2 linked regions of the Rattus norvegicus genome follow. The protein of the gene in region 1 purifies or fractionates together with the protein of each later gene. This does not show direct contact. Links are inferred from orthologs where the notes say so. Each region holds a gene or a part of one and is shown on either strand. Other genes may lie near its edges. The genes, in order: Ptprr and Mapk14.

What was found.
Region 2: the proteins of Ptprr (region 1) and Mapk14 purify together in Homo sapiens (affinity purification with mass spectrometry; 4 studies listed by BioGRID and IntAct, counting the BioPlex papers as one, with this or other methods). This does not show direct contact. The link is inferred for Rattus norvegicus from reciprocal best matches to the Homo sapiens genes PTPRR and MAPK14.

The regions. Positions count from the first base shown.
Region 1 is NC_086025.1:53,547,240-53,551,646, reverse strand, and holds the start of Ptprr (receptor-type tyrosine-protein phosphatase R isoform 1 precursor), read right to left. Parts: upstream 3,006-4,407; 5' UTR 2,523-3,005; coding exon 2,465-2,522; intron 1-2,464. UniProt on the Homo sapiens protein: Sequesters mitogen-activated protein kinases (MAPKs) such as MAPK1, MAPK3 and MAPK14 in the cytoplasm in an inactive form.
Region 2 is NC_086038.1:6,749,875-6,754,313, forward strand, and holds the start of Mapk14 (mitogen-activated protein kinase 14), read left to right. Parts: upstream 1-1,484; 5' UTR 1,485-1,804; coding exon 1,805-1,920; intron 1,921-4,439. UniProt on the Homo sapiens protein: Serine/threonine kinase which acts as an essential component of the MAP kinase signal transduction pathway.

The sequences.
Region 1 (4,407 bases):
CAGCACAGCTGAGAACACTTACAGCCCATCCCATTATTTAATTTACCCCATTTGTGGAGCATCCTAAGATACCATCATTTGTGCCGCCATAAAGTGGTTGCTGGCAACCTGGGTATGACTGATATCAGGCAATTAGCTTTTCATCCGGGCAGTTGAGGTGCACAGGTGTCACTGTCCTTTCTAAAAATAAAGTCAGCCTCTGTCCCTTGAATGTGGCTCTCTTTATGAGAGATAAACTCAGATATTCAACAAGTAAAAGGCTTCGAGGCTTCTTGATCTGTGCTCTCCTAGCCACTTATTTTCTTATTACCTAAATCTGTGGGAGCATAGATCAAGAAAGCTATATTTATCTGAGTTCTGATGAAAAGCCCAAACAGTGCTATTAGATAACCGCGATGCATTTTAATCTGATGACAGCTTCTGACCCACAAATTGCTGTTGAAAATTAAAATGAACCCAAAACAAAACTGGCAAGATGACAATTACAACATCAGACCCACAATCTGCTTTGAAAAAATACCATTCCAGAGCACCGTATTACATACAAAAAATAATACAAATTAATGCCACTGAAATCTGAAATATATAGCAAATCACCTGTTGCCTTATGAAACTAAAATTGGCTGGGTAATCTTATTTTTAATCTTTTCTGCAAGTTAAGAGGCCAAAGTGTAGAGAATAGATTTGCTTTGACCTTTGTAATACATGTTTTGGCAAAGCTCCAGGAATCATGGAGGGCTGCAGACTTCTAGGTTTCACCTCTGGTGGGCAGACGTCCTCTCTTTCCCTTATCCCCAGGGTTCATCCATAATAAATTAGAAACCTTTTCTCCAGACCTATAATAAAGTCTGTGTATAATTGTAAGCTTATAACTCCCTGGCATGCATTAATCATAACTGTCAACATTTGTGTATGCATACTTTTTTAAAGAATAATTACATCGATGTGTTTTATCAGATAACTAATTACTTAACTTGGTAGCAATGAAAACTTTTTTTGGCAGTGGTTACTTTTGTCAATTGTACCACTAAATAGTATTGGACATAAAGCAAAAACAGCATCTATGTAATCGTCATATACTTTAACATTTAAATAATTGTATGTGGCTGAGAAGTGATTCATTACAGTTGTTTGCAAATAATTTAATAACCAAGTCATAGCTTCTTCTCCCACTGGTATTCAAGATACCAGAGAACCACTGAAGACTCCACAATGTAATATTGTAATTATAATAATTAACATACATCCTTAATTATAGCTTTATTGTTCCTATACATCGTCTGTTTCTAAATGCATAATGCATTTAAATCGCAATAGCTAGGACAGAAAAGTACTACATTTCACTCCCATTATTGCATACAGGGAAAAAAAGCACTCAGGCTTTTGGAACACTACCGCAAAGATTGCAGTTTCCCAGCTAGTGTGTGTGTGTGTGTGTGTGTGTGTGTGTGTGTGTGTGTGTGTGTGTGTGTTTATGGTCGCAGTAACACAATGCACTCCCACTCGGTGTACTTAGAGAAATGAATGTGTGTGAAAGAAACTCAAAGAAAAGGTCTGCGTTTGCTACAGGGCTACTGCTTGGACAACTGCGGTCACGGCAGGGTTCCTCAAACCTCTCTGCCATGTTTTATTTTGGTTCACATGTGTGAAAATCATACAGGATGCAGTCCAGCAAGCTTATCCACTGTGTTAGAGGAGCCAGGTGATGCTGGATATAAAATTCCTAGGCACTTTATCAGGTTTGCATCCCTAGAACTAGATACTGATTCTTGTGTCCAACCTATTTTTATGTGACTGCACTCCTAGCTATCTTCCATCGAATTTCCCCCTGGGGAGACAGTGATAAACCCTAGGCTTGTAAGTGTGGTTGGGTTTTTCTATTCTGACTGCGGATACTGACCGTGGTGCTGAAATAGAGAAGAGCCTCCCGTTTGAAACCTTTCCTTACTCTTATTGGTTCAGAAAATCCGAGTGACAAGAGCAGGGTCCAAAGCAGCCTGGGGCAGCATTGTTAATAAACCATGCATTTGGCTCTTAGGGGCGGAGATGTAGACCATCAGGTTACAGACAGAGCCCCGTGAGCGCTCACTAAACTGGGAGAGCTTATGGATGTAGCCGCTGCAGTAGAAAGGACTCCATCCAGCAGGATGTCTCATCTCTTTTCCTGTAAAATGTGCAACCAAGTGCAAAGCCTAGAAGCGCAAGCAGGAAAGCTCGATGGAGGGGAAAGCAAATCTATATACACATTTAAAATGTTCACTCTTCGTTATGCAAGATAAAGAAAAAGGAAAGGCTGAATTTAGCCTAAGTTTTCAGCCCCAGCCTTCCAACAGGTGCACTCTCTCACCCCTCAGAGACTATACCAAACCTTCTTCTGCTAGGTAAGCTTCCCCTGGAGTCCTTAAGCATGTGCTGTTTCCCATCTCATCCTCAGCTTCAGCTCTGAACCCCCGCAAGCCCTTACCTGCAGCGTGAAGATTAAGAAGCAGGCACAGTGCAGGGAAACCGACCGCTCTCCTCATAGTGTGTGCATTGAGGGGCGGGGGAGAAACTCCACCGCAATCCCACTCCAGGCAAAGTGCTATTTGAGAGAAACACTGCCAAGAGTCCTTTGATCCCGAGGCATCCGATGACAGGGTCCTCCGCTGGGGTTCACAGAGCAGTCTGTGGCGTGCCTACAGAACCGAGCACTGGCTTCGTCTCCCTAAGGGATGGGGAGACGGGAGAGTAGGATGCTGCGGGAGATGGGGACTCGAGGTTGGTGGGTGTAAAGCGCTCAGAGGAGGTGAGTGTTTGGCCTTCCTGAAGCCCGCAGTCGGTGGTGACAGTGGGGTGGACTCTTGTGCCAGCTTCCAAGCCAGGCAGCGCCTCTGCTGCCTGTGCAGCTAGCAGCAGCCCGATACACCGAGGCACTGAGCATGCCCAGCCCCGGCCCTGGCTAGGGAGTTTCAAATCGAAATTCCACCTCTCCGGGTCTTAGCTGAGGCTGCGAGGGGAACGAGCTCCACGAGAGGGAGGAGGGGCTGGAGGCTAGCGTTAGGGACCCGCGCGTTCCTCCTGAATCTGGGCGTGGGGAGGAGTGGAGTGGGGCGGGAAGAGGCGGGGCCAGGACCACAGAGACCCAAGGAGGGAAGTGGAGGGAGCCACTCATCTGGTTCCTTCCTCGCATTTTGATTCACGCGTGGGGACTCACCTCACTGTTGCAACTAAATGTTTGCGGGCCGACCAACTTCCCAGTATGTTCCACCCTACTGAAGTATAGGCAAGCAGTTAGTCCTGGCCTGCTTGGGCAAGTGTTCTCACTAACAGCCTGCTGTGTAAAGCTAACTGGCTATTCTGAGGGCGCCCCCTACTTGCCAATTAGCTTACCCCAGGCTTCTTCCAATCTTTGTACTTCCATTGGATTCAAGCCCTAAGTCTATGACTGTAGTGATTGAAAATAAGGAGGCCATACTTACAGGGTAGGGAAGTACGCCCATGTAATTTGAAGGAAAGGAATGGTCTTTGGTAGTTTATGGAAATAGTTATCTAAGGTTCTATTATTTAATTAAAAAGTGAATATACTTGGTTATTTTGCTTGCATGCATGTCTGTTCATCAAGCCTGTGCCTCATGCCCTTGGAGGTCTAAAGCGGTTATTGAAAGCCTAGAGCTGAAGTTAGGCATGTTGCAAGCTGCCATGGCCTTCTGGGAAAAGAAGCAGTGCTCTTAACAGCTGAACCACTCCGGCCTTTTTATCTTAACTCTACTTCTGAGCTCTAGCCCTGTATCTTTAACGAGGACCCCACGGTGTGCAGAATATATGTACTTTTACTCTCTTTATCTAAGTTGGTAGGATGGAGATCCTTACCAATCTAGTGACTAATTACTCTAAGCCAAAATGTCCCTCAGCGAGGCTCCCTTCAAGACTGTTCATCCTTATGCTTCTGTCCGCAGGTTTCCCTGCTGCCTTTTGGCAACGGACCTCAGTCAGAACACGGCCACACAAGAGCTTACATAGGTCTAAACTTGCTCTCACGTTTCCAGAAAGCTCTGGGCTAACCTGAGATTATAATGTTCTTTCTCCTCCCCGGTTTTTGAGCACTGACATATATATATATGTATATGTATATGTATGTGTATGTGTATGTGTATGTGTATGTGTATGTGTATGTGTATGTGTATATGTATATGTATGTGTATATGTATATACTATATGTGTGTATGTACATATATATGTATATATTTTTTTCTGAAATGGTTCATTTATCTGTGACGCATATTTCACCAACTGCAGGCTCCTTGAGAAGCTCTGAATTTTGCATTAACTTAAATTGAATAAAGTCGTGCTGGCCAAATCAGAGGTAGTAATAAGTGCTCATTGAATTGAACTGCAGGGCTCATTCAGTGCTTTCTCCCTGCATCCCCT
Region 2 (4,439 bases), on another chromosome or scaffold:
ATGTCCGAAGCCCTCGTCGTTTCCCCAAACTTCCAAAGGCGTGGATTCTTTAAATTTCTCATGAATTATGTCTTTAAAATCCTCTCAATTTAAGTTCTTTTTTTTTTTTCTTCTTTTTTTTTTTTTTTTTAAAGATTTATTTAGCCGTCTTCAGGCACACCAGAAGAGGGCATCAGATCTCATTACAGATGGTTGTGAGCCACCATGTGGTTGTTGGGAATTGAACTCAGGACCTCTGGAAGAGCAGTCAGTGCTCTTAACCACCGAGCCATCTCTCCAGCTCCCTCAATTTAAGTTCTTAAAATTCTCCCAATTTTTCCTTTAAATTTCTAAATTTTGGATGGTTCTAAATTGGCAGGAGTCGGTCTCGAACCGGAGTCATGGGCTTTGGGGTGTTCCAGATATGGTCTCATAACAGCCCAGGCAGGTCTCTTAACTACTCACTATATAGCAGAGGCTGGTCTCCTGGTCTTTCCAAACGCTGGAATTACAGGCTACGTAAATCTAAATAAATACATCAAATATATGAGAAGGGTCTCTTGGTCTTTCCAGATGCTAGAATCACAGGCTGTATAAATCTAAATAATTCAGTAAATAAATAAAATCAAATACATGAGACGGGTCTCCTGGTCTTTCCAAACGCTGGCATTACAGGATGTGTACATCTAAATAAGTAAAATAAATGAGAAACTTTCCTGAAATGGAATGACCTACCTGCAGAGAGAGAGAGAGAGAGAGAGAGAGAGAGAGAGTGTGTTTCCCTTCCAGTCATGGGTATCGAACCCAGGGCCTTGCAAACGCAGGTCTCAGCCTCAAAGTGGCCATTCCTGACGTCCACCTCTGACCTTGTGCATCGGACTCCCTAGTGGGTCCCTGGAACCTCCTCCTACACCTTCCACGGTGGTTCTTCTGGTGAGGACATTTAGAAGCTGCTAGGAGCGTCCGGCGGGAGGGAGAGCCTGGGCTTTGAGACCGGGTTAATGTTTGCCTGGGTGGGGAGGGGGACAGGTTTCATCAGCGTCCCGAGATAAGCCACGCGTCCTTGAGCGGATGGGAACGCAACAGCTTTCTGGACAGGGCCAGTCTGCTCTTGCAAATCTTTCTTGGAAATCGCCGGCTCCGGTGAGCAGGTGGCTCGGAGCTCAAAGACCGCTTGGCTCTCTTTCCCCCCCCCGACGCCGTCCCAGTGGTTTTCCGCCACGGCGCCGGGCATTCGCCGGTCCGACCACAGAGAGGCGCGCGCGGCCTACGCTGCGGTCCGCCCCCACCCTCGGCGCCCCCCGGGAGCAGAGTCTCCCCTAGAGTTCCTGCCTCAGCTCCCGGAGCCGTGTCTCTCTTCTCGCGAGATCTTCCCGTCCCGCGCGCTCTTCTCGAGCACCCCCGCCCCACGGGCAGGTTCCATATTGGGTAAGATCTCGGCTCGCGGAGCTGTTCTCGCGAGAGTCCTGCTAGAGCCTCCCCGGCCGCTGCCTGCGGGGAGAGGGGGGAGATCGCGGCCACTGGAGCCCGAGCGGGCGCTAGAGCGCGAGCGGCTGTCGCGCAGCGTCGGCGTGCGCTCCCCAGGGAGCGGCTGCAAGGGGACCGCGGCGGGAGCTGCGTCGAACCGTGCAGCCGGCTCCCGCTCGTTGCCGAGGCTCGTAGGTGCCGCCGCGGCTGACAGGAGCCGTGGGTCGCAGCCTCCACACCTGCGCGGGCGCGGGGTCGGGTCTGCCGCGGGCGAGCGAGAGGGCGCAGAGGAGAGCGTGCGGCTGCAGGCAGGGGCCCTCGCTCGGCCACCTCGTCGCCGCGCTGCCGCCGCTGGAAGATGTCGCAGGAGAGGCCCACGTTCTACCGGCAGGAGCTGAACAAGACCGTCTGGGAGGTGCCCGAGCGATACCAGAACCTGTCCCCGGTGGGCTCGGGAGCCTACGGCTCGGTGTGGTGAGTGTCGCCGGGCTTGGGGTTGGGGGCGGGGGTGGGAGGGAACGTGGTGGAGCAAGCAGGGTGGCCCTGCATGCCTGAGCGCCAGGCCTGTCCCCACAGCTCAGCGATGCGCCCAGCGGCAGGAATTCTCCTGCGGGCGTGTCTTGGGGGTGCAGGGGGCAGTTGGAGCGGGACGTGTCCTGCACCCCTCGCCCTGCACACTCAGGTGGGTGGGGAACCGTGTGCGGGATCGGGTCAGCCGTGGGCGCGGTGTGATGGGGCTCCACCCTGTGCTCTCCATGCTCGCAAGATCGTTCCTCCCGGGGGTCCCTCTGCAGCCGTGCGGCCTCTGGACCCTGCCTCCGGGTACCGCCACTTGGCACGCAGGAGCCCTGCCCCGGGGAGCGGGCGAGCTGGGCGCAGCTCCGGCGAGGAGCAGTAGGTCAAAGCCTGACCCGGGGACTGCGGTCACCTGAACGAAACTTGCAAGAAAAAGCGCTCCCTTTCCCGGAATTTTTTTTTCTCTTTCTCAGTTTTTCCCTCCCATTTAACCATTTTTGCAAGCTTCGGTCGAAAAACCCAGAATCGGGAAACGTTCTTTTGGGATTCGCACCTGAATTAGCAGCACCCCGAAGGGCTTAAAATAATACCGACTTTATCTCGGGGACCGCGGGGTGCCAGCTTGCCGTGGTGTGTTTCCGATTCGGTTGAAAGCGTATTTCCTTTTCGGGGAGGGAGGGTGGCAGTGCCTGCAAGGACGCTCCAGCTCTCAGCTTAGTCACACAGCGCTGCTCAGTTCAGTATTGTTTGACAAAACCAGTTTTCCATACGGAGCCAGAGTGGTTCTGATCTGTTGGGCGCCCCTCAAAGATCAAAAAGGTGGGACCGAGTGCTGGAGTTGTAAATGGTTTTTAATTGGGATGCTTTTCTTTCTTTAAGCCCCTTAGAAGATTTGCAGGGGGCTTTAAGCTTGTAAGCACCGAGGCACATGGGGGTTTTTCGGGAGAACCTGGCCGCAGAAAACGATGCCTTTCAGCTTTCATTAACACTTCGGCTTTTTGTTTGAGTTCGTTTGAGACAGAGTCTCACTATGGATGGCCCTGTCTGGCCTGAGCCTCAGTGGCTAGACCAAAGCCTGGCCTGGAACTCAACAAATTTTGTCTCCTGCCAGCGCTGAGAATAAAGGCATTTGCTACCACACAAGGCCCTGGGAGCAGGTTTCAGATTAAATTTATACAGTCAAAGGTCCACTCCAGAAATGTCAGGGACTTTCAAGGATTCATATAGTCTCATTTATTGGGACTCAGTGTCAGTTTAGACCTCCCTATCTGAAAGTAAAGACCAGACTCAACAGACTAGACTCTTCTGCGTTTTAGTGATTTATATTCACGTTTCCCTGAAAGAGCCTGTGAAATGTTTTTTTTCCCCCCCTTTGGAACAAATTCTAGGCTTCTGGATGTGTTAATCTTTAAGTATGAATCCTGTGTTACTTAAAGTCACATCGTGAATTTCCTGTTTGGTAGAATCTTCCTGGTAATTGCGATTGTGCAACCATGTCCGGCAACAGATCATATTGCGTTTGCTCGTTGGAGCTGCCTAGGCTGTGCTGCTGATAGCACCAGCCCTGACCTCTTTCCCCCAAGTTTACAGACTGGCAGTTTGCATTTTAAAGGGGATGTCAATAATTTACATCCCGTGTTTGTGATTGGTTTGTTTCTCTAGTACTCACCAGCTCCCTCAGTATCTCCAGTCTTCATTGCTCACTGTTACAGCATCAGGCTTTTGTCCCCATTTGGATGCTTGGGAAGGATGGAGCAGAACTCAGGGCTTCTGGGAGAGGGAACTTGCAGGGTTTCCTAGGGCCACTGCTGCCCTGGCAGAAGAGCCAGCTTTACAGTGACTTGCCACAGTGAAACCAACACCACTTCCTCTAGTGCTGTTACTTTCTTGCAATGGGATTGAGCACAGCCTCCCAATGAGATAGACTTCTACCAAACAGTTTCTTTTTTTTTTTTTTGGTTCTTTTTTTCGGAGCTGGGGACCGAACCCAGGGCCTTGCGCTTCCTAGGTAAGCGCTCTACCACTGAGCTAAATCCCCAGCCCTTACCAAACAGTTTCTTGAACATAGGTAGTGCTGGCCTAGTGATGTAACCATGGCACAGTCCTGGCCTTACACTGCAGCAGTGCACAGCACAAAGCAGGTCGCTTGAAATAAGGGTCAAAGAGGTCTGCAGCAAAAAAAAACAAAACAAAAAAGAAAAAACCCTGCTTTCAGCCCTGCCTTCTAGTCTGTCAGTTCCTTGCCTGTCTTCCAGAGACACAGACATTTTTTTTTTAAATTTTTAACATTTATTTATTTATTATGTATACATCATACAGCTTTCTGCCTGCATGTATGCACCTGCAGGCCAGAAGAGGGCACCAGACCTGATTATAGATGGTTGTGAGCCACCATGTGGTTGCTGGGAATTGAACTCAGTACCTCTGGAAGAGCAGACAGTGCTCTCAACCACTGAGCCATCTCTCCAGCCCCCAGG